3 linked regions of the Cricetulus griseus genome follow. The protein of the gene in region 1 purifies or fractionates together with the protein of each later gene. This does not show direct contact. Links are inferred from orthologs where the notes say so. Each region holds a gene or a part of one and is shown on either strand. Other genes may lie near its edges. The genes, in order: Ddx20, Snrnp70 and Gemin4.

The links.
Region 2: the proteins of Ddx20 (region 1) and Snrnp70 purify together in Homo sapiens (affinity purification with mass spectrometry; 4 studies listed by BioGRID and IntAct, counting the BioPlex papers as one, with this or other methods). This does not show direct contact. The link is inferred for Cricetulus griseus from reciprocal best matches to the Homo sapiens genes DDX20 and SNRNP70.
Region 3: the proteins of Ddx20 (region 1) and Gemin4 purify together in Homo sapiens (co-immunoprecipitation; 7 studies listed by BioGRID and IntAct, counting the BioPlex papers as one, with this or other methods). This does not show direct contact. The link is inferred for Cricetulus griseus from reciprocal best matches to the Homo sapiens genes DDX20 and GEMIN4.

What each region holds. Positions count from the first base shown.
Region 1 is NW_023276806.1:51,315,952-51,326,436, reverse strand, and holds the start of Ddx20 (probable ATP-dependent RNA helicase DDX20), read right to left. Parts: upstream 5,618-10,485; 5' UTR 5,590-5,617; coding exon 5,289-5,589; intron 4,933-5,288; coding exon 4,838-4,932; intron 2,744-4,837; coding exon 2,575-2,743; intron 2,000-2,574; coding exon 1,885-1,999; intron 1,768-1,884; coding exon 1,625-1,767; intron 1,528-1,624; coding exon 1,389-1,527; intron 1,277-1,388; coding exon 1,218-1,276; intron 1-1,217.
Region 2 is NC_048599.1:154,297,471-154,307,955, forward strand, and holds the start of Snrnp70 (U1 small nuclear ribonucleoprotein 70 kDa), read right to left. Parts: upstream 6,128-10,485; 5' UTR 5,917-6,127; intron 5,657-5,916; exon of another isoform or gene 5,554-5,656; intron 5,280-5,553; 5' UTR 5,270-5,279; coding exon 5,123-5,269; intron 2,874-5,122; coding exon 2,811-2,873; intron 2,540-2,810; coding exon 2,485-2,539; intron 1-2,484. UniProt on the Homo sapiens protein: Component of the spliceosomal U1 snRNP, which is essential for recognition of the pre-mRNA 5' splice-site and the subsequent assembly of the spliceosome. SNRNP70 binds to the loop I region of U1-snRNA.
Region 3 is NC_048600.1:89,664,581-89,675,027, forward strand, and holds the start of Gemin4 (gem-associated protein 4), read right to left. Parts: upstream 5,902-10,447; 5' UTR 5,780-5,901; coding exon 5,770-5,779; intron 2,207-5,769; coding exon 1-2,206. Other genes in the region: diazepam-binding inhibitor-like 5, read left to right, coding at 6,585-6,848. UniProt on the Homo sapiens protein: The SMN complex catalyzes the assembly of small nuclear ribonucleoproteins (snRNPs), the building blocks of the spliceosome, and thereby plays an important role in the splicing of cellular pre-mRNAs.

The sequences.
Region 1 (10,485 bases):
AAATGGTGACATTACAAAGTCTAAGACATACTTTTTAGGAAAAGGGTTATTACCAATTATTTACAAATCTTGTTTTAAGAATCTGTGAGAGCCAGGCAGTGGTGGCGCAAGCCTTTAATCCCAGCACTCGGGAGGCAGCGGCAGGCAGATCTCTGTGAATTCAAGACCATACAAGACCTAGTTCCAGGACAGCCTCCAAAGTCACAGAAAAACACTGGGGGGGGGGGGGGGGGGATCTGTGTGTGCCTGTATCCATGTATCTATCTGACTGTATACAGTTGTATGTGCCTATGCATTCAAAGGCCAGGAGAGAGCATCAGATCCCTAGGAATAAGAACAGCTGGCTTGTTATATGGGTGCTGGGGTCCAAACTCCTGTGCACATGATTGCACAGGAAGTGCTTTAACACTGTGTACTCTCTCTAGACCACAATTCTGATTTTGAAATGTGATCCAAGATTGAGCTATCAGCCCATTAGGAAATTAGTCTCCTTGATATCTCACACTGAGTATGTTCCCCCTAATAAAGTAAGAATTTCAATACAACATATAAAACTGGAAGGAGCTCATTAACCAAAAACTCCTTTAAATCTTTTCTATGAATCCAGCAATTAATAAACTGTGGATGAAGTGAGTCACTTTGCCTTCCATAGACCATCAAAGTCAACTCAATGGCTAAAAGTATAGCTCCAAAGGAGAGTACTTACCTAGCATGTGAAAAGCCAAATCTGATAGTAGGGGAAGCAGAGAAGATAACTCAGCTAGTCTTAGCATGTGTTTCTATGACAACAGGGTCTTGCTATGCTGTCCATACTGGTTTTAAACTTAACATAGTCAAATATGGTCTCAAGTCCACGATCTTCCTGCTCCAGAAGAGTACATGCAATACTATACTCTAAATACTAAAATTTTAGTATTTTAATAAGTGATTATATGAAGAAACAAATGTCTTAAGACAAATAAGATAAATTTTGTTTTATAGAATTAAGTTCTTAGCAAATATAACTAGAACAGACCAAGTTACTCTTTTTAAAAATTAAATTTAAAAATCCAGCAGACTGATTATCAAATGCCAATGAAAAATAAGCCTAAATTTCCTTTATTATGAGTGCAACCTCACACTCACAAAACAATTTAAGAAGTAATGTTTTTCTCTCTTGATATGGTAGGCTTCAAAGCAATACATTAAACAAAAAAAAAAAAAAGAGCTGGACTTGCCTGAAATGCATTCAGTAGGAAAACCTTTAGAAGAAAGGATATCAGCCAAATGCTGTGCTCTACAAAATAAATAAATAAATAAATAAATAAATAAATAAATTTACAGCTTTCAACTATTGCCTCATGACTATTCTTTTACTTTTTTAAGTTCCTGGGATTAAGTTTTATTACCTGCTGTGCAAATTAGAAAACACCAAGGCTTGATTAAATGGGACTCTACTGAAAAGTTCCTGTAAGTGCTGAGTCTTTTCCTCAAAAATCTTATGAGCCAAAGGGTAAGAATTGACAACTTGGTAGTACTGCTTCAAACCTACAATGAAATCAAAAACATCCAATGAATTCCACTATGATGTGGTTGGTCATAGCTCCACAGTGTTACAAAATAATTCTGCAAAATCTGTACGTACCTATGAGACTTGGATCACTGGGATTCAATCTTACAAACGTGGGATCTCTCATATACCTTGTCAAAGCATTAGCCAAAAATTCAGGGTAAGTAGCAGATACTGCCAACATCTGTTTACTGGCAGGCAAAGAAGAATAAATCCAACTGTAAAATACAAGAAAACATATACTGTGAAAACTACGCAGACAGCAAACACTACCAGTAAAAGCCATAGACAAACACTTAGACACAACATTTTTATAGTCAAGCTAGTTTTCTTACTTTATTTGTTCCTGGAAACTGCCTTCTTCTAAAAGCTTATCTGCTTCATCAAGAATAAAGAGACGGATACTGCCCGGATTCAGGTAGTCAAGTTCTATGAGCTGTTTAATTCTACCTATATGCCAGGAAAAAAATAAAAGCTGAAATATTCATGACATCAAATCTGTACAACCCTCAGGAATGCTTTTACTGTATTTATCCACAGGTTATACTGCTGAATTTCTTCACAGTGTACATTCACATACTACACAGCACAATCTTAGAAATCTTAAATTCTCATCTAGCCTGAATCCCTCCCCCCTCCCACTTTTCATCATCGATAGATATGGAAAACAAGCACCACTGCTATCAAAAGACTCAAATGCTAAGGGATTGAATTCTAGATTCTAAGTGATTTATGAGCAAATTACCAGAAAGAACAACAGAAATCTCAACCCATGGCTTAGACAGGCTTCCTGAAAGTCAGGTCATTATTTCAGAAGCCTATCCCAAGTGAAATCCCAAACAAGCTTTAGAATGGAGACAAGCAGATTCTATTGATAATCCAGCCATGTGTTTCACTAGTCTAATGCTCTTCACTTCTAGTGAAAGTAATTAGCCCCATGATCAAAGACTCCCATTTACCTATAGTCGCATTCAGTGTTACATTTCACAAAGAACATCAGGTACCAACAGGTATTAGTAACTCACCTGGAGATCCAACAGCAATATGACACTTTTTAAGTCTGGTTTTGTCTTGAGATAATGGAGTCCCTCCAATAAAGACATGACATTCTAATCCTTCCATTTTTATTCCAATGGCTGTGATAACAGAATGTATCTGAACAGCAATTTCTCTTGTGGGAGCCAATATCAAAATCTAAAATAAATTATAAATATTACTTTAACAAGTCAGAAGAATACATATGAGTGATACATTCATTGCATGCTACACTACTTTTCATTGTAAGAGGAGTTTTAAAACAGGAGAAAATATTCCATTTATTCGGTTAATTATTAAGAACGTACTATATGGGAGAAAACATACAAGTTGTGAAAGAATTGCTCTCTTGGCACTTTTTGGTTATAACATAAACAAAAACATATACATGTAATAAAAAGTATTATTTAAAAAAAAAAATCAAATAGGGAAAAAAGAAAGACCTGACAAGGGAAATCATTTTAAATGATCAGAAAGCCCTTCCGAAGTGACGTTTTGGCATGCACCTATGATTCCGACACTCTAGAAGCAGAGATATGAGGATTGCCTCAAACTGAAGACTAGTCTATGTTGTAAGCTTCTGTCCAGCTAGAATTAGGTAGAGTGTGCCTGCTTCCAACAAACAAACAAAGAATTTTAAAAGTCCCATAAGAAAGTAACATTTGAGACATACAGCATAGAGCTAGTTGTGGAACACACCAGAAGCAGTGCTTCAGAAAAAGAAAAAGCAAATCCAAAGGCCTTAAGGTACACATAAGGAGCAGCAAAAAGGCCCAGGTACTAAGATTTTAAGAGGACTCTATCTCAGAGTTAACTCCCAGAGTTAGGTTCCAAAGGCCATGAGAGCCACACATAGTAAAAACTGCAGAACATACATATTGTCACTATAAGAAAATATTGCTTAAAAAAAAGACAAGGAAATAATAAAAATATATTTTTTTAAAAATCTCTTAACTCTGGGTACACATCACATATTTAGAGTTCTTTGGTACTTTGTTCTTTTCCCTGAAATTTCCCAACTTAAAACAATTATGTAGTGTTACTTTGATAAACACACACACACACACACACACACACACACACACACACACTTTAATAATATAAATACTTTAACAAAAAAAAGGGAATTTTACTTAGGTTTAGGATTTGGTATGCTGCCAAGTGTCACAAGCCAAACTCTCTCAAACACATCTTAATTTACAAATAGACTAGCCACTGTCCTTAAGTTATATTCAGTATCTGCCAGAATGTGGTGGATACAGAGCTCAAAAAGATTCCTAGACAACAAATACAAGGATCCCGGGTTAAAAAAAAAAAAAAAAAAAAAAAAAAAAAAAAAAAACCAACACTGTTCAAGATTCATCATCACAACAGACACTTCTTAACCTGAAATAAAGTTACTATACTACTACACTCCAGAAGATGGTGGGAGGACCACATCCAACTCATTGCTTAATCCCCAGTGCCTAGTGTAGTATTTGCATGTATTACTAACTGAACAAATCTTTTTGAAGAATTATCTCCCAAACCCATATTTCCTACTAGTTTGAGTAGGACAATCTTCAAACTATTCCAAGGCAACCTAAAATTAAGAGGATCTCTGTGAATTCGAGCCCAGCCTAATATACAAAGCAAGTTCCAGGACAACCAAGGTTACACAGAGAAACCCTTTGGGGGTGAGGGGGGATACAACCAAAAAAACCACAACCATATTAAGTTCTGCCATAGCGTATTATATAAACCAAAACTTTTAAGTTTATTTCTAACCCCAATCTAGTAAGTAAAAGTTTTTTTAAAAAAATTTTTTTAAGATTTATTTATTTATTATGTATACAGCGTTCTGCCTGCAGGCCAGAAGAGGACAGGAGATCTCATTACAGACTGTTGTGTGCCACCATGTGGTTGCTGGGAATTGAACTCAGGACCTCTGGAAGGAGCAGTCACTGCTCTTCATCACTGAGCCATCTCTCCAGCCCAAGAAAAAGTTTCTTAATTGCATAATGATTTTAAGTAACACATATTCAAAATGTAATTATAGAAGACTCCAAATTTAAAAAAAAAACTTAATAATGATATTCTCGGCCACAACTCAACGACCTTACCATCTATGTAGTTTACTTCTGTAATTTTCCTACGGTTTCACATTCTCCGATTCATCAAACACACCATCTGTGAGGAGTCAGTAGTTTTTCATAAGTCTAGCTAGAGGCCACGTGCTACACACCCCCCGTCTGGATCCTCTGAGTTACTCACCTGAGTACTGTAGTTTTCAAGAAGAAGGGAGTCTAGAGCAATGGTGGAGAATACACAAGTTTTCCCAGTGCCAGACTTAGCTTGAACAATTAAATCTGAGAAAGAAAGAAAGAAAAAAAGAAAAGAAAAAAAGAATAGGTATCATTAGCAAGACTCGCTGAAGCAACTAGATACCAATATAGGACCAGGGAACGGCCGGATTCTCTCCTAAGACCACCTAACTGTCACCTATATTTTTAGTTGACCCTGAAGCGCGCGCGAGGCGTGCATCAACCACGGAGACATTTCTCCAGCCCCTTAGTCCCCGAATCTCTACCGCTGCTCGTCTCCAGCTTGGACCCGGCGCCTTCCGATCCAATTGCGCGCCTCGAGCACTGCCGAGCCCCGCAAAGGCGCGGAGCCGGAGCTCTCCGGGGCCAGGCCCCCGCCCGCGGCCGGCCCCGGTCCTCACCGAGCCCGCAGCGCCCCAGCGGGATGGCCTTCAGCTGCACGGGAGACGGCCTCTCAAAGCCGGCCGCCCGCAGCCCCTCCAGCACCGGCCGCGACAGCAGCAGCGACTCGAAATCCGCGGGCTCCGCCAGCACCACGTCCCCGGTACGCGTCCGCGGCCCGCCGATGTCGTGAGCGGTCCGCAGGCTCCACGGGGAGCTGGGAGTCGGCTCCGCGGCCGGGGACCGCACGGCCGCGCGCTCCGCCGCCATAGCGGACTCCGCGGTTGTCAAGGCCGCCGGGGCTTCAAATGCCGCCGCCATGGTAGCCGCGCCTCGAGATCTCGCGATATTTGGAGTCGAGGCGGGGCTCCTGGGAGCGAGAAGAGGAAAAAACTTTATTGTCAGTCTCTCGGTGAAGACACGGACGCACCCGGCCTGGAAGTGGAGGAAACGAACGGAAGTCGGAGGCTGGCGCTCTGGGGACGGACAAAAATGTAGCCTGAGGAAGAGGCGGGAGGAGCGAGGAAGATGAGGCTACCAGTGCTGCCGCCGGCGGCCTGCAGAGGGCGTCGCGTGCCCGCGGTGGGCGCCGCCCGCCTCCCGCGGCTCTGACGGACGGGCCGCGCGGCGCTGCTCCGGAACCCGGCGCTCGCGGCGCGCTTTGTGACGCAGCCAGAGCGTCAGGCTCGGCCGCCGCTGGGCTCCGCTGCCCCGGTCTAGCTTGACTGAGGCCGCGCCGAAGTCTTCGTCCTCCGCACTTTTCCCCGCTGCTCCTCAGTGCTCGCAGACAGCGCCCCGGAACACAGCAAAACGGGGTTCCCTGCCCTCGGAGAGCCCTGTCACGTCGGCGCCCCAGCCCCTTAGCACAGTGCGGGAGACTGACTGGACCGCCAACTCCCAGGCTCTGCGTGGGCGCTCTCTCGAATCTCCAGGCTAATAGAGCTCTCCGGTTCAACTCATTTTGTCTGCCCTTCCTTCCGATCTCGGGTGGGCAACTAGCACACCACTTCCCCTTCCTCTGGACCCGCTCACATGTCACCTTGTTGTAAGAGGTCTTTCTTGAAATCTTTAGTCACCCCCGTCCTGCCTGCTCCCTGGCCTTTCCCGTTATTCTCACCACTTGTTTGATTTTTGGTTTGATTAGCTTGGTTGGCTTTTTCTTTTTCTTTCTTTCTTTTTCTTTCTTTCTTTCTTTCTTTCTCTTTCTTTCTTTTCCTTTCTTTCTTTCTTTCTTTCTTTCTTTCTTTCTTTCTTTTTCGACAAAGTCTCCCTATGCAGCTCAGACTGGCCTCCTGCCTCGACTTCCCAAATACTGAGATGACAGGTGTGTGCCTTATCACCCCTGGTCACTCTTCATGAATGTTTATTGTCTCCCTCACTTCCCCCGAAGGCAGGAAACTATTCTGACTTGTTCTCTTCTGCCACTAGGAGGAAAAACAAAAATCTGACACATTGAACGCTATTTTCCTCTCACACACACCTGCAGAGTCTTTCTCCTAGCTGAGTATTACTCTCAAGTTGACAAGACCTATGACAAACCTCATTTGTCCCTACGTATAATTCTGGTCTTGTTTCCCATATCCCAATTGTGTAGAAATATCTTTGGCAAGGAAATTTCACTAGAAGTGGGAGCTGGAGATGGATTCTGTTTGCTTACTGATTTACAAAATACTCAGCAAGCACCCACTAGCCATGTGAAGGAAGAGGAACTAATAAGGTCCCTCTTAGCTGCTCACGTATTTCATCCACTCTTTGCCCTCACCCTCTTTCTGACAATTTACTGGCAGATGATGTCTCCAAATATCTCCCTCACTCCTTTTCAATATAGTATCTACTCATGGTCTTTTGGTCACTCTAACTATTGAACCCTTCCCTATTGGCCTCCCAGTCCAGATTCTTCTCTGCCCAGGCCATGCACCACAGAGGCATTGAAATGACTTCCTTTGTCTGCTTTTCTCTTTCCTATGGGTTGAAACAACTTTGGCATACTAAGCAAACACTTTACTATTTAAGCACATTCCCCGTCAGAGAGTGACTCATTCCTCACTTCTTCCTTCCTCTCTTAGTTTCTTTTCCTGTTACTGTGACAAAATACTTTGACAAAAGCAACTTAAGGGGAAGGGGTTTGGTTTTGTTTTTCTGGACCACAGTTCAAGGTACAGTCTGTTATGGTGGGAAACTCAAGGCAGTAGGAGCTTGAAGCAGCTAGTCACATTACATCCACTTTCAAGAGGCATACTAAAAGTATACTAAAGGATAAATAAAATGTGTAACTAAAGTGGCATAGTAAGCAGCCTTATAAAAGACGGAAATTCTAACAAATACTACAAAATGAATGAACCCTGGGGACCTTATGCCAAGTGAAGTAAGCCAATTAGAGAAGGACAACTACTGTATGTTTCCATTTGTGTGAATCAGATTCATAGATGTAGAAAATAAAATGGTTGTTAGCAAGGGTAGGGAGATGAGCAAAGAGTTGTTATTTAATGGGTTTAGAGTTTGAGATTTGTAAGACGAAAAAGTGTGGGAGGTCCTGTTTCACATCAATATAACTCTACTTAATACTTGAACTGTACACCTAAAAATCACTAGGATGCTAAACTTAATAAGTGTATTGACCACAATTTTTTAAATCATAGCTTTCAAAAGGTTTCTATGATTTGGAAGATGGCTCCTTGGGTAAAGGCACTTGCTTCCAAGCCTGACTACTTGAGTTCCATCCAGGGACCCACATGGTGGAAGGAGAGAAGTGACTCCTGCAAGTTATCCTCTGACCTCCACATACATGTTGTCATATGCACACACCCACACAAACACATACATACTCACTTTTTTATTCTACCATTACAGTATATACAGTATTAGGATTTTTTTGTTGTTGTTTTTGGTTTTTTTTTTTTGTTTTTTTTTTTTTTTCGAGACAGGGTTTCTCTGTGGCTTTGGCGGCTGTCCTGGAACTAGCTCTTGTAGACCAGGCTGGTCTCGAACTCACAGAGATCCACCTGCCTCTGCCTCCTGAGTGCTGGGATTAAAGGCATGTGCCACCAAGTATTCGGATTTTTAATGTGTAATGAAAATACCCAAAAGAATGCATACTATATTAATAAAGACATTTACCCTCAAGAAATGGGAGGAGAGGATTCAAGTATTCACTTTGTCTATTTTGATAATATATTTGGCATTATTAGAAGAAAAGACATTTGAATGTAGTTTTTAAAACTATAAAAATGAGGTTAACTGAACAGCTTGAACTGGTAGTTAGGTAAGTGCAGCTAGACTAGACATGGCAGCTTGTGCTCTCTAGTCCAGAGCTTGAGAAGCTGAGGCTGGAGGATCAGCACAAGTTTGAGGCCAGCCTAGGGTACATAGTAGTTCTAGACCAGCCTGGACCACAGAGTAAATATGTGTCTGGAAAGGATCATTAATCATGTCTTTAGAAGGATCACTGATTTTGTCTTCAGGTATTCTATCTGTGCCCTGTTCTTATTGCAATCAAATAAAAATTGCAAACCAGAAATAAAAAGAGGAAACAGGGTCCTATAAACATGAGCCATGGAGTTCTTCTGGTGGGATGTCCTGTAGATAAACAGAGAAGCAAAGCAAATAGAACATAGATGACAGTGCTGTTGTCTATCCTAATGATGATGGAAGATGATGGTGAATAGTGATGAATGAGATGGGTGTGGTGATAGTGGCAATGGGGATAACTAACATTTATGAAGCTCATCTTCTTGTGGGGAAATCACAACCACATGAGATGGATACTACCATCCCCATTCTGCAGTTAAAGAAGGTAAGACACTTAACCAGCTGCAATGCCTATGAACCACAATAGTATTATGGCAAGATATCCACAAAGGCACAATAGTGGCACTCAAATATTAGTGGTAACTAACAGCTGTGTAATTGAACTGAAGGCCCACTCAACAGCAGCAAAATCACACCTGGTACTAGAAACCTAGCCCAACTTCCTGTGACTAATGTGGTCATGGATCTTAGAAGAGAATCTACTACTACCATTTTGCTAGGCCAACATAGTTCCTAATTACATTTTAAATATTATTCTTAAACTCACAAGTAAGTTTAGCTACCACCCCTCATCACATTGTCTGGCATCTCTTAGCCAGACAATGGTGGCCCACACCTTTAATCCCAGCACTCAAGAGGCAGAAGCAGGTGGATCTCTGTGAGTTCAAGGCCAGCCTGGTCTACAGAGCAAGCTCCAGGACAGCCAGAACTACACCCTGTCTAAAAAGAAGAGGAGGAGTAAGGAGGAGGAGGAAGAGGAGGAGGAGGAAGCTTCTCTTTGCCAAAAATGGAGACCATAATGGAAAACACAACTGGACACAACGTAGAGATCTGTGTATCAGCCCAGCCCCAATAGAAACCTCTAAGGCACAGCTCCTGCATCAATGGCTCAGAGAACATCACAGAAGAGGAAGCAATAAGATTATAAGAGCCAGCATGCCAGGAATTCTGCTGTGAAACAATCTCCCTTAGAAATGGCTATATAAACAAGACCAGAACAATGCCAATATCATTAGACATGCTAACACAGAATTGGGGATAGCTCATGGGTCCCATCGATAGAAAAAGAACTGCTAAGAGAGGAAGAATTAGCCTCTCATAGGGATGAGCCCCTTCATTGGGTGTTCAATACAAAGTGATCAGCCCTGAAACCACATTCCCACAAGCAACAAAAATGGACTCTGGGGGTTGTATTTATATATTTGTGCATACATATGCATACTCGTGTGTGTGTGTGTGTGTGTGTGTGATAATAAAAGAGGCTATCCAGAGGGAGGGAACTTGGTAGGAGCTACAGGTAAAAGGGGGAGGGGAAAGTGATATAATTCTATTTTAGCTAAAACCATTTTGTAAAAAAGGAAGTAGAAAACTTAGACGACATCATTCCAAGTCCACATGACTCTGGTCTCTGGCTTGGGCATAATGAACATACCCAGGACCCTCTTTCCTGAAGGATCATCCTAAGATTTACTGGAGTCCTGAAATTGCCTCCTTTGCTACAGAAAGGCAGTGACTGGGAAGAACAGAAGAGAGTCTGGGGGAAAGATGACTTCCAACAGAAGGCATGGACTGCATAGGCCTGTGCCCAGTGACGGTTCATAGACAACAAGGTGCTGGGAGAAGTCCTCAGAATCCAGGTAAAATGTGCCCAGCCCTCCAGCAGTCACACGGAGTCTGTCATCAGGGAGG
Region 2 (10,485 bases), on another chromosome or scaffold:
CTGCCTACAGGGTGGATGCCAGTCAATGAGAACTGAGCTTGCCTGAAAGGCAGTAGGAAGCACACAAAAGAGGGAAACATCTCTATTTGAGATGCCTAGAGTTCTTGCTTACCATGGGGCTGATGAAGTACTCCTATCTGAAAGAATACATTACCAGGAAGACAGCAAGTAATAGGCAGTGCCTATTACTAAGTGTTCGTGTGTGGCATGCTTGCCTCTGTACTCAGCTGCACCCCTTTGCTCTCACTGGTCAGAACCCCAAGAAGAAACTAGCCCACAAGAAGTCTCAAAGCTACAAAAGTTCACTAGGCTGACCAGAAACCTAACTGCCCTTCTGTATAAGATACAGGCCTAACTTGATTGATTTCTACATTCCCCCACCCCAGTTTGAGAGCTTCAGTCACATCCAAGAGCCTGCTATGCTGGTTCTTAACACTTTTTAAACATACCTACTGACTTGCCCCAACTTTTCCTTATCAAGTTGTTTATATGTTTTTTTGTTTGTTTTAAGGAAATGAGGTCAGTCTGTTCTATACAATCTTTCACATTCTCCACGGGGTGCAAAGCATACCTGGATAGGCAAGGAAGAGACTGGGCTTTTATGCTGAGGTCAGGAGGCGGAGATAAGCGCTTGTCCTAACAAAGCCCCATAAAGGATTTTGGCTAGGGAAGGTCAAGTAAACAAGACACACTGCTACAGCACTGCCCAAGCCAAAAGGGATCGGTGCTACTGGAGGACAGGAATGTCTAATGTTGTGACATTTAGCAAGTAGCAGGACAGGTCTTGGTGATAAGCTGGGAAAGTTATATTGATGCTGTGGCTAATCTAGTTGTAAACTTTAACACATCTGAAATCAACTAAAACCCATGCCTGTGGGGATTTCTGGATTGAATTATTTAAGGTAAGAAGATCCAACTTAAATCAGGGCCACACCTTCTGTTGGCAGCCAACATAAAACCATGAATGAATGAAGTTTTTGCCTACCTATCTTCACTCTCCTGCCAAGTTCATCCATCCTGCTGTTGAGCCATTCTTTCACTGGTATTAGAACCTACTTATTCAGAATTCCAACATGGAATAAAGCTGAGATATCCAACTTTGTGGACCGAACACTAACAGACTCTTAGCCTTTCTGTTGAGAGACAGCCACTCTAATCTGTGTGTGTGTGTGTGTGTGTTGCGTGTCCGGCATGGACACAGATATATATAAAACATAAATGGAGGTCGACCAGTTGTCTTGTTTTAAAATAATGTATAGAGGTTTACCAGTTGTCTCTGTGGATTTTTTTTTTTTAATGGAGGTAGACCAGTTGGCCTTTTGAACTTGATTGACTGATTGATTGATTGAATTTTCCCCATTCTCAATTCTGTTCCTTTAGAGAATCATAACACAGGTATAAAAAACAGAGTATCAACATCTGGAAAGCCATGTCTCAGGGAAGGTTGAATCCCTTAGGAACTGGGAGGAGAGGAAGGTGATTGTGTGGCTTCAACATGTAGTATGCGCATGAAAGAACATCTAGCCAGGTATGGTGTAAGAACCAGAGCTCCATGCCCCATCTGTTAGTCATGTATACTAAATACACTTGAGAAAACCCAGAAGTTCTAGCATATGGTTTAGAAAGAAACGATTCACTAAGGCTGCAGACAATAGATGGAGATAGATAATGATGAGTCTTTACATACAGAACACTGAGATCTCATCCTTTTGAGTCTGGTTACCAAGCACTACTTAAATTCTCCACACCTGGATGGTAAAGCATCTCCACTTCCAGGATCAGGAAGCCAGGGATAAAGACAGGACCAACTGACCAGATCACCTCATGCCTTATCCTGGAGACACAATGGGATGTGGTCCTTTTATAGATAGGGCAAGTGACTGGGGTAATCCTACCTGTTAAAAGCCTACACCAACTGGAGCTGGAGAGATGGCTCAGCGATTAAGAGCACAGATTGCTCTTCCAGGAGTTGGTGTTTCATTCCCAGCACCCACATAGCAGCTCATAACTATCCAACTCCAGTTCCAGGGAATCCTATGCCCTCTTCTGATCTCCCACATACAGATAGGCAATACACTCATACATGTTTTTTAAAAACTAATAAGGCATACAAGAACTTTTAAAACAGAGAGCCTAATCCAAGAGCTATGCTTGGCAAGTGGTTGCTAGGAAAGTGAACTAACTCTGCTTTCTCAGGCACCCAGGAGAATAGTGGCTCAGGTATGACCTGGTAAGAGCAGCAAAATGAAGCCAGGCGTTGGTGGCGCATGCCCTTAGTCCCAGCACTCAGGAGGCAAAGGCAGGCGGATCTCTGTGAGTTCAAGACCAGCCTGGTCTACAAGAGCTAGTTCCAGGACAGCCTCCAAAGCCACAGAGAAACCCTGTCTTGAAAAAACAAAAAACAAAAAACAAACAAACAAACAAAAACAAGAGGAACAAAATGAGACTGGAGGGGAAGATTGATAGGAGGGAGGAGAACCTTACACATTTTCAGCTCTGTCTCCACTTCCTGCTGTCGCCGTTCAATCTTTTCCCGTCTCTGCCAATAGAAAGAAAATGTAGAGTTAAGTGCAAGCAGGGGTACCTGGACTACAGGGATCTCTGGAAAAAAGTAGGTAAAAATATAGCAAGACTAAGAAGTGCCTGGCGGCAGCGGCGAACCTTTAATGCCAGCACATGGGAGGCAGAGGCAGGCGGAATTCTGTGAGTTCAAGGCCAGCATGGTCTACACAATGAGCTCCAGGACAGCCAGGGCTACACAGAAAGACCCTGTTCTGAAAAAACAAAAGACTCACGTAAAAACAACATACCTTTCTCTCCATGCGTTCTTCCCGGGTTTCTGCCCTTGTTGGAGGAGGGGCATCTCGAGGGTCCTAGGAACAAGAGAGGTGATGGAAAATAGCATGGCATACCAGCAACGAAAAGACTCTCAGTTCCCCCCCATACACAAGTGCCATTAGTTCCAGTATAAACAGAAGACAGAGGGTGGAAGTGGTCCAATGAGGACCAGTGCTGCCCAGACTACTGGAGGTCTGTGGCAAGGACAATACAAACATCTCTACCAGGTGTTGGTTGTGCACCTCTTTAATCCCAGGACTCAGGAGGCAGAGGCAGGCAGATCTATGAGTTCAAAGCCAGCCTCGTCTACAGAGCAAGCTCCAGGACAGCCCAAGTAACTTTACTAGAATAATTAAACGGAAAGAAAAAAATATCATTTTTGAAGGTACTTTTAAACAAAACACAGAAACAATTCCCTTGTATTTAGCAAAAGCATCAATCACCAGGGATGGTGGTAGTCCACGCCTTTTATCTCAGCACTCAGGAGGCAGAGGCAGGTGGATCTCTGAGATCCAGGCCAGCCTGGTCTACACAGTGAGTTCCAGGACAGCTAAGGATACACAGAAAAAAAACCTGTCTCAAAACAAAACAAAAAAGCACCTACAATGACTGGTAGACATTTGTTCTTCATCAGAGTGTAACATAAGTTACATAGCTGTAAAGTACAGTTCCAAAGCTACCTGGCAAGAAGAAGAAGAAAAAAAGCAGGGTGGTAGGGGTGCACACCTCTAATCCCAGCACTCAAGAAACTGAGGCAGTGTAGCTGGGCAGTGGTGGCACACACCTTTAGTCCCAACACTCGGGAGGCAGAGGCAGGCGGGTATCTGAGTTCTGAGGCCAGCCTGGTCTACAAGAGCTAGTTCCAGGACAGGCTCCAAAGTCACAGAGAAACCCTGTCTCAAAAACCAAAACCAAAACCAAAACAAAACAAAAAGCTACATGGCTCCCAAAGGAATTCTGCAACTCCCCACAGTTCCAAACAGAAACCCCAAAGAGTGGAGACACAAGACTTTAATCCCAGTACTTGAGTACTTGAGAGCACAAAGCCAAGTAGATGTATCTCTGCAAGCTTTAAAAAAAAAAAAAAGACAAAATGGGGCTGAAGAGATGGCTCAGCAGTTAAGAGCACCAGCTGTTCTTCCAGAGGACCTGAGTTCAATTCCCAGCACCCACATGGCAGCTCACACCTGTCTGTAACTCCAGTTCCAGGGGCTTTATGGCACCAAGGAAGCAGCATGCATATGATAAATAAGTTTTTAAAATAAATAAGTTTTTAAAAAATTCTTTTGATAGGTATTGTTTATTACATTTCTTTCTTTTTACTTAATTTTTCCGTTTATCTTACATCCAAAATAAATAAAGGAAATTAGCTGGTCCTGGAAGTGGACACCCATTAACTGCAGCATTTGGGAACCTAAGTAGGACTGGTATACCATCAAGGCCACTCTGAGCTACACTGTGGTAATGTCTTGCTTGTACAAATAAAGCCTGTTTGAGGGTCGGAGAATGAAGCTTGCCACTAAGAGGTCTGTAGATCTGTCCATTTACACTACATAGCAAAACTCTGTCTCAAAACTCAAACAAAGGGGCTAAGCACGATGGTTCTGCAAGTTAAGGCCCTTTTCACCAAAGGTAACAAACTCAGCTTGCTCTCCTGAGCCCACACAATGGAAAGAGAGATCTGATTCTTTCAAGTTGCCCCCTTATAGGTTTATAGGTTTGCACACACACATCCATACACACCACAAATACAAGTGTAATTAAAACTTAACGATGCCGGGCGTTGGTGGCGCACGCCTTTAGTCCCAGCACTCGGGAGGCAGAGGCAGGTGGATCTCTGTGAGTTCGAGGCCAGCCTGGTCTACAGAGCTAGTTCCCGGACAGACTCCAAAGCCACAGAGAAACCCTGTCTAGAAAAACGAAAAACAAAAACACTTAATGACGGGCTGGAGAGGTGACTTAGTGGGTAAGAGCACTGACTGCTCTTTCAGAGGACCAGGGTTCAATTCCTAGCACCCATATGGCAGCTTACAACTGTCTGTGATTCTGGTTCCAGGGTACCTGACATCCTTGCCAAACACCAATGCATATAAGATAAAAACTAATAAATTAAAAACTTAATATAAAAGAAATAGAACGCACACAAATGCAAAAACAAGATTAAGAAAAGTAAAATCATAAACCACAAAACTAAAATATGTTTAAAATCTCTACTCCAAAATGCAGCCTGCTCTCATTCAGCACCCAAGCCCTTCTAGTAGGCCCCATGTCTCCCTTTACTCACCTCAAATTCCCGGATGTATGGTGCAATGCCACAATAAGGTTGGTTGTGATGTTTTTCATGTGGCAGCTTTTCTAGGGGTGGCAAGTACGGGATGGGGTCTCGAGGGGCAAAGAGGGCCAGAAGGTTGGGAGGCAGAAACTGTGTCATCTTGCCAAACCTGAGACCAGAAACCTTAGGTTAGGGAACTTTAGCACAGGAGGTTCCCTCTAGAACCCCTTCACTCAAAATCAAACAAGCAGACAGGAGAGATCACGAGGACGCTGCTATCTATCCCGGGTGAGCCGGTGGAAGACATCTGCACGAAAAAGGTCGGTCTTGGCAGGAGCTGAGAAACAAAGGACTAAAAACACAGAAAACAAGGGAAAAGGAATCAGGAGGTGAGGGACCTAGAGACCTGAAGCACTAAGCTCAGAGGGTTGCTGGCCTCATACCTTGGAGATTACGAGGTAGGGGTCTCAAGGTAGTCCAAAAAGATCAAGCCAGGGGATCTGCGTAAAATATCTAGGATCCCAGAGGCGAACGGAATTATGGGTACAGATCCAGGATGCGACAAAAAAAAAAAAAAAAAAGCGAGGAAAAGAGGCAACACATAAAACGCAAGGGCCTGTGGGTAGGGGACCGCGAGAGGCAGGGGGAGGGGGACGCTGAGGGGACTCTGGGTAAAGGATGGGGTGGTTTGAAGCGCGGACCCGGTAAGCGGGCCTCAGGCGCGGGTAGAGAGTTCGGGGACCCCGCAAAGGCTTGTGGGTAGAGCGGACCCGAACCCCGTTAAGGCCACTCATTCACTCACTCACCGCGCGGCGCTCTCCTCGGCCTGACGTTAGTCTCAGGCCTCGCGGCCGCCGTTCACCAACAAAAACTCCCGCTCTGGCTTCCACTTCGGCGGCGTCTGCGTCAGCTACCTTCAGAGGTCCGCGCCGCGCGCGCAAACCAGGCCGCTCCTCACAACCCGCGCGGCCTCGGCTCGCGACAGGAACGGAGAGGGATCCGGTCTAGAATCCCTCCGCCGCACGCACCGCGCATGCGCCGCACGAGTCAAAAGACACCCATTTTGAGGTCTTGGCTCTACAGCGAGCACTGCGCACGCGCAAAGCCAAGACTCCGCCGTCAGAGTCCTTCAATGCTTAGGCTGCCTTGGCCTGGCAAGCGACGTGCGCATGCGTGCTCAGGCACTAGGTCGGCACCCACCTCGCGCTCTAGCCAACCGCCTATGCCCGCGAGACACTTACTGATGCCCCACCCCTTTCCCCTTACACTTCCCGGACCCTGTACGCATGCGTGAACGTAAAGTGCCAGGTGGAATATCCTTCCGCAGACTGTTAAAAAGTACCTACCTCATCAGGGTCATTGCTTTTATTTTATTTATTCATTTTTTTAAAGATTTATTTATTGTGTATACAGTGTTCTGTCTGCATGTGTCCCTGCAGGCCAGAGAGTGCACCAGATTTCATTACAGATGCTTCTGAGCCACCATGTGGTTGCTGGGAACTGAACTCAGGACATTTGGAAGAGCAGCCAGTGCTCTTAACTTCTGAGCCATCTCTCCATCCCGGGTCATTGCTTTTAAATTCTATTTAATGGATAAGTTCTCTCCCAAGTGTCTTGTATGTTCTAGACACTGTTTGAACTCTAGGGACACAACATGTGACAAAATAGTCTTCTTGGAGCTTACATTGTTTGGAAATATAATACGTTTGTTTAGTGGGTTTTCTTTTTTGTGTGTTCTGTTGTTTTATTTTTCTTTATTTTTTTACACAAGGTTTCACCGTTTGGCTCAAAATTACCTTGCAGTGTGTGTGTGTGTGTGTGTGTGTGTGTGTATGTGTTTTGGCTTTCTGAGACAGTTTTACTGTGTAGCCCTGGTTGCCCTGGCTTACCCTGTAGACCAGACTGGCCTCAAACTCACTGAGAGCTTCCTGTCTCTGCCTCCTGGGAGTTGTGATTAAATGGGCGTGCCACCATACCCAGCAGGGTTGTGTTTTCTTAATTGTGTGTCTTTTCTGTCAGTCTGTGGTGGGGGTGTGCACATGGTTACAGGTGCCCCCAGGGGTTAGAAAAAGGTGTAGCCCTTGGGAGCTGGTGTTATATGTTGTTCCAGGCCTCTCATATTGGGTGCTAGCACCTGAAGTCAGGTCCTCTGGGAAAGTGATGCCATCTCTTCATCCTGAGCTCAGGGCTTCCTTGCATGCTGGGTAATCTAATCACTCTGCCAACTCAGGTCTTGCTCTAGTGAAGGCTGATCTCCAACTCATTGTTACTGCCTGGTTGTTTTTATTTTCGTATGTCTGTTAGTGTACAGGTGCCCAAGGAGGCCAGAAGAAGGCATTGGATCTTCTGGACTTTAGTTACAGACATTGTTTGTTACCTGATCTGGGTGTTGGGAACCAAACTCAGGTCTGCTTTGAGAGTAGCAGCCAATTTTAACCACTGAGACATGGCTCCAGCCTGACACAATTCTTTTCTTGGATATCTGAGAGTAAATTGCAGTGGCACTTCAGCCTTCAATACTGTGCACAGGTCCTCTGAGAAACAAGAACTCTTCTATAGAACCACAAACTTCCAGCAAGAGGCTTGTGTTCCCTGGCAGCCTATAATCCCAGAACTTTGAAAGTGGAGGTAGGATGATTAGGGGCTCAAGCTGGCTTGAGCTATACAGGACTCAGTCTTGGGACTGGAAAGATGATTTAGAGGTTGAAAGTGTGGCTGTTCTTGCAGAAGTCAAGAGTCTCCTTCCCAGCACCCACAATGGTGGCCCACAAACACCTGCTACCTTTTTCTGGCTCCCATCAGCACCCGCACTCAGGTGCCCCCACATATACATATTTTTTTAAAAAGATGTCTCAAAACACAAACACACCTTTAATCCCAATACAGGAGAGGCAGAGGCAGGCGAGTCTGTGAATTCAAGGCCAGTCTGGTCTCTCCGTAGGGAGTTGCTAGACAGCTAATTACATAGTGAGACCCTGTCTTAAAAAATAAGTAAATAGAAAGTGAAACAGAATTTTATGTCGCTCCTAATCATATTTTGGCAAATGATCCAGGAATGTTTTATTTTCATGTAAAATATGGTCCCATCAAACAGGTTTGTAAGACTTTACCTCCAAACAAAAAGCATTGGGGCAAGGAGACAGCGGGCAGGGTGTGAAGCAGTAGCAGAGCACTTGCCAGGCACGCTGGAAGATTTGGTTCTGTCCCCAAGACATGATTCTTAAAAAGCCCTTAAACTGGGCTCAGTGTCTCACACAGGTATTCCTAGTATAGGGTCGCTGAGAATGGAGAGTATAATTCCAGTCTGATCTACCCTGTCTCAAAAACAAAACAAAAATCCTCCAAAACCAGAACAAGGGGCTGGAAAGTTGGTTCAGCAGTTAAGAGCACTGGCTACTCTTACACAGGACCTGGGTTTGATTCCCAGGATTCGTGTGGGGTTCACACCTGTCTGTAACTCCAGTCCCAGGGGACCCCAGGATTCATGTGGGGCTCACACCTATCTGTAACTCCAGTCCAGGGGACCCCAGTGCCATCCTCTGGCATCCACAAGTAACACGCATATACGTTGTGTACAGACATACATGCAAGCAAAACACCCACACACATGACAATAGCAAAAATAATTTAAAAACTATTTCAAAATAAGTTGAAATGTTTTTAAATGTAGTTCACCTTCCCTCTATAATCAGCACAACTCCTATCTTTGTATCTGAAGCCACTGGTTATTGACAGAGCCCTTGATGTGACAGGTTGAAGTTGGGGAAAGGGACTAGGTTGGAATGGGTTCCAGATTTCAATGTTAAGACACCTGGTAAACTGGCTGTGGGGTGCATGCCTGTAATCCTAGGGCTGGCAAGATGGAGAGAGGAAGGCTAAAAGTTTGCCATCAGTCTGAGCTACACAGTTCAAGGTCAGCCCAGACAGCCCTTATGAGCCCAGCCTTTGCTTCAATAGATAAAACAGTTCAGTGTCTCAAGTATCTATACCAAACAATATTAGGAACTGAGTTCTGATCCACAATAATCACGTAAAAAGCTGGATGTAAACTGGGTAGTGGTGGTGCACACCTTTAGTCCCAGCACTTGGGAGGCAGAGACAGGTTCTATGTGAGTTCAAGGCCAGCCTGGTCTACAGCAAAAATTCCAGGGCAGGTTGCAAATTAAACAAATAAACAAAAAAGCTGGATGTAGCAGAACTTGTTTGTATTCCTAGTGCTCGGGGGAAAGGGAGAAGAGACAGGCAGCTCCTGGACTCAGACAGTAGTGTTGAAAAGTTAGACATCTGGATTACACTAATGTCAATTTTGTTTTTCATTTAAGCATAGCATAATTTTTGGAACTGAATGAAGGCTGTTGAAGAACTGGATTTTTATGGAGCTGGCTGTTCTTTAAGAGGTCTTGAGTTCAATTCCCAGCTCAGCAACCACAACCACAGGTGGCTCACGGTCACCTACAATGGACTCTGAGGGCCTCTTCTTTATGTCTGTATAAAGTCATACATGCAGATACTCATACAAGGTGTGTGTGGTGTGTGTGTGTGTGTGTGTGTGTGTGTGTGTGTGTGTGTGTGTGTATTGGTGGATATATGCACGTAAGTATGGCTATTGGAAGAGGCCAGAAGAGGGTGTGAGTGCTCAGTATCTGGAGTTAAAGGTGGTTGTGAACCATCTCCACTGAGTCCTGGGAACAGAACTCCAGACCTCTGGGAGCCATCACTCAGGATCTCTCTATATAACTCAGGCTGGCCTCAAACCTTCAGTCCTGTGTTCTTCCTGATACTTTATTGGTAGGCACTCCACCTGGCTCTTAAAACAATTTTTAATCTTACCTATTTAGTAGTTATTTTGGGTACTAAAGATGGAACCTAAGGCCTTTTAAATGCTAAGATTACAAAACGTTGTAAATAATCACAACACCAGCCACTGGGGATTCTAGTCCAATGCTTGATCATCAAGCACACACATATCCAGCTTTCTGCTGTTCGCTCATAAATATCAATAACTATCCAGGTAACCAGGACAACATTCCCCAACTCACTTAAGCCTTCACTTAAGCATTTCATAGTCTATTTTCCATATGAAGTAATAGTCTAAGGTCCCAGTTGAAAAGTTTCTACACCCCAATAAGCCTCTCTGCCGATGCAGGAATCCAAGCCCACATTTAATGGAGACAATGCTCCCGGATGGCCTTGAGGAGACAGGAATGGGAAACTGGAAAAGCCACAAGTCTGTTCTCTGGGGGACACTTTAAATACCCTGTGGGAGTTGTTTTGAGTATCTCTGAGGGAGGGGCCATCATTTGGCAGGCTTTCTGAGAGCATCAGCGTTTGGAGGGAGGTGGGGGAGGGGACTTGGGTAAAACCTCCACCATAAC
Region 3 (10,447 bases), on another chromosome or scaffold:
ATCTCACAGAGGAGCTCCAGGATGTGGGTCACAAGATCCTTGCTGTCCAGAGTGAGACAGCGCTTCTCCCGGGGGAGCTGCCAGAACTTGCTGAAGCTGTCCAGGAGCCGGCACAAGCTGAAGAGCAGCGGGAATGGGGAGCAGGTTTGCAGCCAATACTCCTCCAAGCCCGCATTGGCTTCAAGGGTCTGGAGGAAGAGCTTCAGACTCAGGCCCACCTCCTCCATGTCTAGCATCAAGAATGGCAAGACAAACTCCTTCAGTACCTCATCAGGCTCCAAAAGAGCAGCAACTGGAATCCCCTGTGGTTTCACGGGGTTCATTAGGCAGCTCACCAGCTCCAGAAACTGCTTCTCTTCTTTGGGTGTAGAGAACTTTGTCCAGACAGTTTCTTTGAGGCAGGACACCATGAAACTGGTATATGGCTTTGGCCCTTGTGTTTCTGTGAACTTCAGGGCAGGGAAGGCAGTAAGAATCTGAGCCAGGAACCTGTGAGTGCCAAGATTGGTCACAGCTATGCTGCACATCTTCTTCACCACAACTTCTGGGTACAGGATCACCAGGCGGGCCACAGAGGTCACTGCTTTAGCCAGACCCTGTTCAGAGGTGCTCTGTGCAAGCTGGTTAAACGTTGTGTTGAGGTCTTCCTGAAAACCCTCCAAGTAAACAGACAACCTGTCCGAGAGGCCCTTTGGCCCCCAACAATGCAGGACTCCAGAAAGGACTTTATTTTTGTCTGGTAGGGAGAGGTCTGCATAGCATTCCAAGGTCAAGCAGATCACCTGCTTGATATGAGGCTGGGGGATAGCCCTGTTAGAGTTGATGACTTCCATCACCGTTTCCAGCAAACTCAAGATCAAGTCTGGTTCTCTGAAGAGAGACCTGTTGTTAACAAGGCAGGCAACCCACTCATCTGAAAAGGCCCACTTCTTCTCAGAAGCAAAAATGTAGCACATTTCCATATACCGGTCCATCTTCTGCTCAATGATGGCCATGGCAATGGAGGCAGTGATGTCCTCAAGGCCCCTGTCATTAAGCACTCTGCTGGTTTTTCTTAGGAAGTCCCTAACACACTCAGCCAGTTCACAGACCACCTGCCTCTCCTCCTTGGACATGCTGGCAGTTTCCAGGTAGAGCTTCAAGTTCTGGCTGAAGGAAGTCAGACTGTCACACAGCCGGTAGGTGTCATAATTTGTCCCCTGACTGCTGTTTAGCATGTCCTGCAGTTCTGCACCCCACTCCTGCAGCAGGTTGTGCATAAGCTCAAACCCCATGAAAACAGTCTCACTGGGGAGTTTGGCTAGTGAGGTGAGGCTCACATCCCGCTCTGCCTCCTTTACTTTTTCAGCCAGGGCCTGTTGATGGTATGGGTTCCGGGTGTCCGAATTCCATACAGAGATCACTGTGGCTAGTTTGTCTAGGTACATGGTGGCAGATACCTCCTGGGGGTCATCCTCCATCAGTGCAAACACACTCAGCATGTCAGCCAAGTTAGCTAATGCACAACACTTCATCCCGCGGCACAGGATTCTCTTTTGGATTTGCTTCAGCCCATTAAGCAGCATGGCCAACAGTGGCATGGTAGGACCCACATCTGGGTCAGACTTAAACCTCTTTGGAGGATGGGAAAACTCATCTGAAGATGGCAAGTATTTATGGGCCATTGTCCTGAATTGGGAAAGCAAGGGGTCCTGCTGGTCACCCTTGTGCTTTATCATTTCCCACCAGACATCCAGGAAGAAGGATACATCCTTGGAAGAAGTGTCAATGGTCATGTGTTCCAGAAAGTTCTGTAACTCTGAGCGGCAGATGGTGGTAGGAAGGGCCATTAGGAGCTGAATGAAGAGTCCAGAAGCTTCCAGAGACTTAAGCAGCTCAAAAAGGACTGTGTGGTTGATGGTAGGGATCATGTTGCCCACGGAGAAGAACACATCTTCCTGCCACCGAGTATCAGTATCAGAAGGGCTGACAGGAGAGGGCTGAAGAACCTTCGCCCAGATGATGATCAGTGCTTTCTTCTTCCAGGCAAATGGCTGGGAATGTGCTGTGGCTGAGGAGATCTCCTTCAAGGCGTCCACAATAGGCCGCCCCACATGTTCCCAGTCAGACTTTGTCAACTGTTCCAGGGCTTTGGGGTGGAACAGCTGCTCAGCCATCAAAAAGCCCCCATGCAGTATAGTCATTTCCTCACAGATATTTAAGGGTCCTGCACAGAGAAGTCAAGAGTTAATGAAGTTTTCAGAATGGTAAGCAGAGGCTAAGAGAAAGAAACAGAGTCACTGGTTGGCTATCATTATCAAGGTTAATAATACCTTGACATCAACAGGAGAGGAAGAAGGCACGGTTAGTAAGAGCTCCCGAAGGGAGAGGGTCCTAAGGACTTGGCTGAAGAATAAAATCCAGTTTCTAAGATCTCTAGCCTGGAAATCAGAAGAATAGTACCACAGGGACAGGGAGAGAGGGATTCAGAATAGATTACTAAGTTTCTTTTTAAGTATTTTATATTTACTTTAATTATCTGGGCCCTCAGGAGTTGGAGTTACAGGTGATTAAGAGCCACCTGGTATGGCTGCTGGGAACTAAACTCCAGTCCTCTACAACAATCTTATGTGTTCTTAACTACTGAGCTCTCTCCAGCTCCCAAGGACAGGCTTAAAGGGAGGAAGACAAGTTCAGTTTTGGTTACCTGGAGTCTGAGGCTGACTATTTAGTGATGTCTTTCAGCAATGGCAATGAGTTAAGGAGAAAAGGCCTGATTTAAGTATAGGCAGTGCCAACACAGAGAAGTTTATAGAAACCAAGGAAGAGACTAAGATCCCTCTGCAAAGTGTGAGGAGGAAAGCTGGACTGCTGAGATTACAGTGGGGACAGGACTGGGGGGACAGTGCCACCAAGTATGCATTAGAAGACATGACAAAGGCCAGTGACATGGCTCAGTGACCTAATGACCTGAGTTTGATCCCTAGCCTAATACAGCAAGAGAGAACCAACTCCTACAAGCAGTCTTCTGAAGACACAGACGGAGAGCCCAACACTGGGTGATGAGCAGCCTTTATTTTTTTTTTGGGGGGGGAGGGTAATTGTTTTATTTTAGCTAGCTTTGAACTCACAGAGAACTGCCAGCCTCTGCTTCCTGAGTGCTAGGATTAAAGGCATGCACCACACCCAGCTGAGCTTTTGTTTTTGAGCCCAAAGCCTTGCATATACCAGGCAAGCACTCTACCACTGAGCTGTATTCCCAGCCCTGCCTTCCTTCTTCCTAAACACACTGCTGCTAATGGGTTTCAACATTCTGGGCCTTACAGGGAAAAAGTTCACCCAGCAGTTTCTTCTAGTCAAAAAGGACACTACTGAACATTCTGGCTCTGTGGCAGGAACCAAGAAAACATTCATTCACTGAGCTAAGAACTGATAAAGACATTTAAAGAAAGGCAATATGGGAGTTTAATCAAATAATGGATTTAAATCCTAGCTCAGTCATTCAAAAATGTGACTTTACACATTACTGAGTCTGTCTGCATACACAGACTATAATCTTCAGTGGTATAACCATGAAAACCACATGACATACAACATATACTAGTCATACTTTTGGAACTATTTTGGTACTGTTACCTTCTCGAAACATCTTTCAGGGGTGGGAGAATGGAAGGTTACTATCGCAACAATAATCAGACCACAAAGAGCCTGATTTAAATGTTCAATTGTTGGCAGGCCCAGTCTTCTCACTATTTTGTCTCCTCCAGTGCAAAAACAAAAGGACACAGGTCTTTATCAAAGTGTATAATTTGGCCTAGAAACTAAAGATTCTAACAACTGGGAGTTGAAGAGATGGCTCAGCAGTCAAGAGCACTGGCTGCTCTTCCAGAGGACCTGGGTTCGATTCCGAGCACCCATATGACAGCTTGCAATTTCTGTAACTCTAGTTCCAAAGGACCTGAAACCCTCACATCAATGTCCATAAAATAAAATTATTGTTTTTATAAGTTATTTTTTAAAAAGAGTGTAACAACTAACTGGTCACGGTCACTGTTCCTGACAGCGCCCACCCATTCCCAGGGCCCAGAGATGCCTAACCCTTCCTTCCTCATGTCCAGTTTCCCATGCTCCAAGGAACATATTTTCCCCATTCTCATAGGCCAGAGTCAGCTGCAAAAATACTGACTCCAGTGGCCAGTTGTGGTGGCCCATGCTTCTAATCCCAGCTCTAGGGAGGCAGATTTCTATGAGGCCAGCCAAAGTACATTGTGACACCCTGTCTCAAACCTCCCCTACCCCCAGGGGGAAAAAAAGTGATGACTCCAGGGAACTAATGAATCTCTTGGCCACTAACCATTTACTCACACACCCAAAAACAAGTCAAGGATCAACACTCCTACTAAACCCAGGCCTGAAGGCAATGCACCTTGGCTTCCACAGTAGCAGAAGGCCCAGAGTTAGGTTGCTGTGGCAGGGTTCTTTCTGGCTCAGGTTGCCCTGCCCTCAACACCATTCCCTCGCAACAGTAAATTCAATTTAACTGCATTTATCAGCTTAGCCGAGCAGATGTCTGCCGACAAACATGAGATTTTCAGACACTGTGTACATGTGACTTGACAAAGTCCCAGACTCAGTTAATAGCTAGGGGAAACTGCAAGGCTTTATCAGTAGCTGGTGCTAGGAAGTGACTGCTTACTCTGGTAGGCACGGGGCTTGGTGACATACATTTTTTTACCCGTGACATAGGATCTTGTTATGTAGCCAGGACTGGCTTGAAACTATATAGAGCAGGTTGGCCTAGAACTCTTGAGATCCTCCTGTGTCTGCCTCCAAAGTGCTAGTTAGACATAAGCTTCCACACCCAGCTTTACACCTAAAAGACCATTTGATCATCCAACTAACTTCTTGAGGATTACCACTCCTGTTTTAGAGATGGAAACCTCGAGGCCCACATACAATTTGTGCAGGGTGTCTGAGTCAGCGGAGTCAAGCCATGGCAGAACTCTTGACAGCTTCGGGGCATGAAACTACCTAAAGAGCTGGCTGGGACAAAGATCTTTCTCCATAGCTTATTATTTGCAAATCTTGGAGTACCTCCCGGGACAGCCTCCCTGTCTTACCCTCTAAAGAGCACACCTAGCAGGGTGGGGAGGCTTGGCAGATGGCCACAGATTTCTATCAACGCCGCTCTCCTTCCAGACCTCGCCTAAGAGACTCCAAATCAAAGGATTCAAAAAGTACCATCTCTGTCTGCTGCTGCTGCAAACCCTGCTCGAAAGCGAGGGCTGCGGGACACCACTGTGCACAAGTCACCGTAAGGCGCCCAGTTATGCACGTGGTCTCAAAGAAACGCCAAGCCTGGGAGGAAAGCGGTATCAGCATCTCTGCTTTGTGGACCAGGAGAGCTGCTAAGAAACTTGTTCCCCGACTCGGCAGTCACCCAATAAGGAAGAACGGTCCGGACGTCCGTTCCTCCCAGCCCGGCATTTCCGAAACACGTGCAGTAGCCCTGTGCACTTTCAGGGGGTCCAGGGCTACATTCGCTCTCTGTTTTCTAATGGGAAAGAGACCACGAGGCGGAGGAGGGATCGAGGAAGACCAACACGAGGCCGGGCTGCGGGCTGGAGGCCGGCCTCGCGGCCGCGGGTCCCTAAAAACTCCTCAGACCCCCGGCCTCCAGAGTCGGCTCCGGAGAGCGCCACTGGAGGAGCACAGGGCCTCGGCCCACCCTGGAGGGGCTCTGCCGGACGCGGCCCGACACCAGGCCGGAGTAGGGAAACGCGAACCCACCTAGGTCCATGGCGGCGAAGCTGGCGGCCGGGCTGGACCGCCCCTCCCACTCCGAGGCCGCGAACGCGGTGCCCCCGCCACGGCACAAAGGGCGGCGCCACAGGCGCGTCACAGGTACCGCCCACAGCTCGTACGGGCTTCCGATCAGTACTCCGCTCCCCGGCTGCTGCTCCGTGCGCACGCGTCTTCCGTCCTCCTCGACAAGCTCGCGGCGTCGAGGCCGACCAGGCCCACAGCGCCCCCTCTCGGCCCTAGGCTTCCCAGCCGGCCGTCTACCCTCAGGTAGGTAGGCAGGCTCCTTGCGGAATTACAGTTCTCTTGAGGCCAGGAGGTCCAATCCCTTAGTCCAGACTTCTCACTCTCACCCAGGAACCCCCACGATTCACCTCCAACGGAATGGCCTTTCCCAGGCTGCCCACTAACCAGCAGCGGATCCATGGGGCTCCCCGTCCAGCCTCAGAGACACACAGAAATGCCCAAATGCTTTTCAGCTCTCATAGGCGCCTTTGTAAGTTTGAAGGACAGTCACACTGGGCAAAGCACTGTGGGACAGGGCCAATCGAATGGATTCCTGGTCAGCAACTTGTAGTTTTTCAAACACACACACACACACACACACACACACACACAGACACATACACACACACACACACACACACACACACACACACACACACACACGTGTTCTTCCCACACATTATCTCTTTGTCCTTTCTTTCCAAGGCCTAATAATCGTCTGCTTTGCTTATTCCCAACTCTCTTCTAGTACCAGGTATCACTAGAACAGAGAGGCACACACAGCCTCTGGTGCAACAATGAGCCAAGTGGAGTTTGAAATGGCCTGCGCTTCTCTCAAGCAGCTGAAGGGTCCTGTGAGCGATCAGGAGAAACTGCTGGTGTACAGCTTCTACAAACAGGCCACCCAGGGCGACTGTAACATCCCCGTCCCTCCAGCCACAGATGTGAGAGCAAAGGCCAAATGGGAAGCGTGGAATGTGAACAAAGGGATGTCCAAGATGGATGCTATGAGGATCTATATTGCCAAAGTGGAGGAGCTAAAGAAAAACGAGGCTGGCTAAGGACATTTTGGCAGACACAAGGAAATAGCAGTGGCTCCACTGGTGGGGAATGGGTTTAAGAACTCCTGATGGCTGAAACATACTGAAAAGGGTAGCAAGGTTAGCGGAGACATCAATAAATCACTTGAACGGCACAAGAGTGGAGTCTGTGTCAAAGAGCAACTCTGTGAGGGTCCTGGAAAGCAGTTCAAATGTGTAAAAGCACCTCTGCTGGCTAAAACTCCATTAGTCATGCTTTGTGTGGTCTGACTGGCTATGTGGATGGATATTTGGCAGAAGAGGGGATGGGTAGGGGTGAATCACGCTATGAAAATGACCAAGGTCGGAAGTGAGGCAGAGCTTGGACCTGTATCAAGGGCTGTCAACTCACCAAGAACCCAACAATACAGAGGGGAAAGCGGCTCTGCCTTCTAAAGAGCTGAAGTCAAATAGAAAAGCCCTCATCTAGAACACAGGCCCAGTGAAGTTAGTATTTTGATGGAGCTCAAACTCTGAGTGACAAGGTGGTGACATAATTCATGCATCACAACACAGCAGCCGAGGGACAATGGAGCAAGATGGTTTCAGAATCTTAGCATCCAAAAGACTCATCTAAGGCTTAGCAACCTAAATGTTCTTAGGATTGCTCTTCTTAACCTAGGTTTCTGCTTGGGACCCTGACAACATGTATATAGGCACATGTGGCTCACATAAGTGCCAGGGTACCCTTTGTCAATCATTTCAGCGACATCGGTGTGCTACCATGGTACCTGGAAAGCTGGCATATGAAGTGTTAGAGTTCTTGAAGAACTCTACAATAGCATGGCATTTTCCAATACTTTCTTCAAAACTTGTCTTCCATCTGAGATATAACCACTTGCCTGGCATGTTGAGGCTTTGGGTTTAAGCCCTAGCAAATATATTCATATAAATGTAGTAAAAATTCTCAGCTACCAGGGTGAAGGGTGAAGGATCATAGCAGCAGAGCGGCCAGCCACTGGAGTTCTTACCTCTACCAATGCTAAGACCAGAGGGGCAATCCTGTCTTCAGACTGCATCCCCAGACTTACTGCCCTGCCTTATATTCATCTCTCCACCCAGCCATATCCCTTCCTACCTCTACCTCCGTAGTGCTGGGGTTAAAGGCGTGTGGCTCCCAAATAATGGGATTAAAGGTGTGAGCCACCACCATCTGGCTCTGTTTCTCTTTTAGACTGGATCAATTTCGTGTACCCCAGGGTGGCCTTGAACTAACAAGATCCATTTTCTTCTGTCTCCTGAGTCCTGGGAGGTGTGTACCACCACTGCCTAGCCTCTATGATTAACTAGTGTGGCTAGCTCTGCACTCTGATCTTCAAGCAAGCTTTATTTGTTAGATCATAAACAAATATCACCACACTATAACAGAAGTTTCTAAAGGTGTTTTGTTGTTATCAGTCAGTTATTCTGGTTTAGGGGATAGGGCCTGGCTGGCCTGGAATTCACTGTGTGAACCAGGCTGGCCTCAATTTACAGAGATTCATCTGCTTCTTCCTCCAGAGTGCGATTACAAGCATGAACCACCATGATGGATATAAAGTATATTTTTTATCATTAAAATATTTTCATTTATTATTGTGTGTGTTCTATGTGTAGGTGTGGCAGGAGTGAGTGTGTTAAGTTTGCATGTGGAGGTCAGAGCACAACTTATGGAGTTGGTTCTCTCCTTTGACTTTTACACAGGTTCACAGGAACAAACTCAGGTTGCCAGACTTTTTTTTTTTTTTTTTTTTTTTTGGTTTTTCGAGACAGGGTTTCTCTGTGTAGCTTTGGAACCTATCCTGGCACTTGCTCTGGAGACCAGGCTGGCCTAGAACTCACAAAGAACCGCCTGCCTCTGCCTCCCGAGTGCTGGGATTAAAGGCGTGCGCCACCAACACCCAGCAGGTTGCCAGACTTTTGTAGTAGGTGCCACCACCACCTACAGAGCTATCTTGTAGGCCCTAAAGTTTTTTTGTTTGTTTTTGAGACAGGGTTTTTCTGTGTAACAGCCCTAGCTAGCCTTGAACACACAGAGATCCACCTGCCTCTGCCTACCAAGTGCTGAGATTAAAGGTGTGCACCACCAAGAAGAGTCAATTTTTTTTTAAAGATTTATTTATTATATATAGTGTTCTGTCTGCATGTGTCACTGTAGTCCAGAAGAGGGCACCATATCTCATTACAGATGGTTGTGAGCCATCATGTGGTTGCTGGGAATTGAACTCAGGATCTCTGGAAGGCCACCTAGTGTTCTTAACCACTGAGACATCTCTCCAGCCCAAGTCTACAAATTTTTAAATAGTACTCTTTTCCATCCTTTCCAAAGAGCTTTAATAAAAAATGCATTCAATAAAACTTTTTAATGACTGAAACCACCTGCCTGCATCAACCAAACAGAAAATCACAATAAAATATTTTTTCAGGCTGAAGAAATAAATTAATCCATTTTAAAGACTAAAACCACTTTATAAAAAAGTAGTGCAGAATCAGGCACAGAAATGTGACTCACTGAATATTTTGTTCACTAAACACTTGTAATTAAAAAACAAAGTGGCACCAGAGAAAAAAATGCCATGTGACAGCTCACATGAAGTTTTTTTGTTTTGTTTTTAATTAGGAGAAAGGGAATGGGAAAAGGGGGGAGGGAGGAACCAACTTCTGAGGATGGGAGCAGCAGAACAGAAAATGGTGGTGTGTGTGGGGGCGACAGACAGCAGACAGGCAGAAGCAGAGAGAAAGGTGAGAGGGAGAGGGAAAGGGAAGGAGAGATGAATGTGCATAGGTGGTGCTCTTATTGGCTGCAGCTGAGGGTGTATCTTGTCAGAAACCCAAGGGCAGGCCAGTACAGATGCCTGAATACTAACGAAAATTTCCTGTTTTCTCTGGGTATTCAAAATGTAAAATCAAGGTGAGGGCATTATCCAGATCTTTTTTATCCAAGGGATAATTTTTCTTAATCTTTATGGGTGTTTTGCCTGCATACGTCTGTGTACTACGTATATTTGGTGCCTTCAGAGGCATTAAGAGAGTGTTGGATCCTCTGGGACTAGAATTCCAGACAGAGCAACCATGTGGATGCTGGGATCAAACTCAGGTCCTCTTGTAGAGCAACCAGTGCTCTTAACCACTGAACCATCTCTTCAGTGCCAGGATAAAACTTCAAGCAAAACAAAACAAAAAAACATCAAGCCTGGAATAATGGCACACATCTATAATCCCAGGACTAGAGGCTGAAGTAGGAAGATCAAAAATGCAAAGCCACTGGGAAAGGCGGCCTGTGTCTTTGATCCCAGCAGGAGGCAGAGGCAGGTGGGTCTCTGTGAGCTTGAGGCCAATCTAGTTGACATAGTTCCAGGCCTGCCAGGGCTACAAAGTGACACTCGGTCTCCAGGAAAAAAGAAAGTTAAAAGCTTCCTTGAGTTCTACAGTCAAGTAACATACCACTCTGTGCTATCAAACAAGACTGTCCCAGAAAACCAGAGGAAACAGTTTCTTTAAATGTCAAGGCTTCTATAGTATGATTCATTAGGACCTGAGCTCTCTAAGCAGTTGGTTTGACTTCTTTTGATTTGTGTTGTTTGAGACAGTGTGTCTCTTTA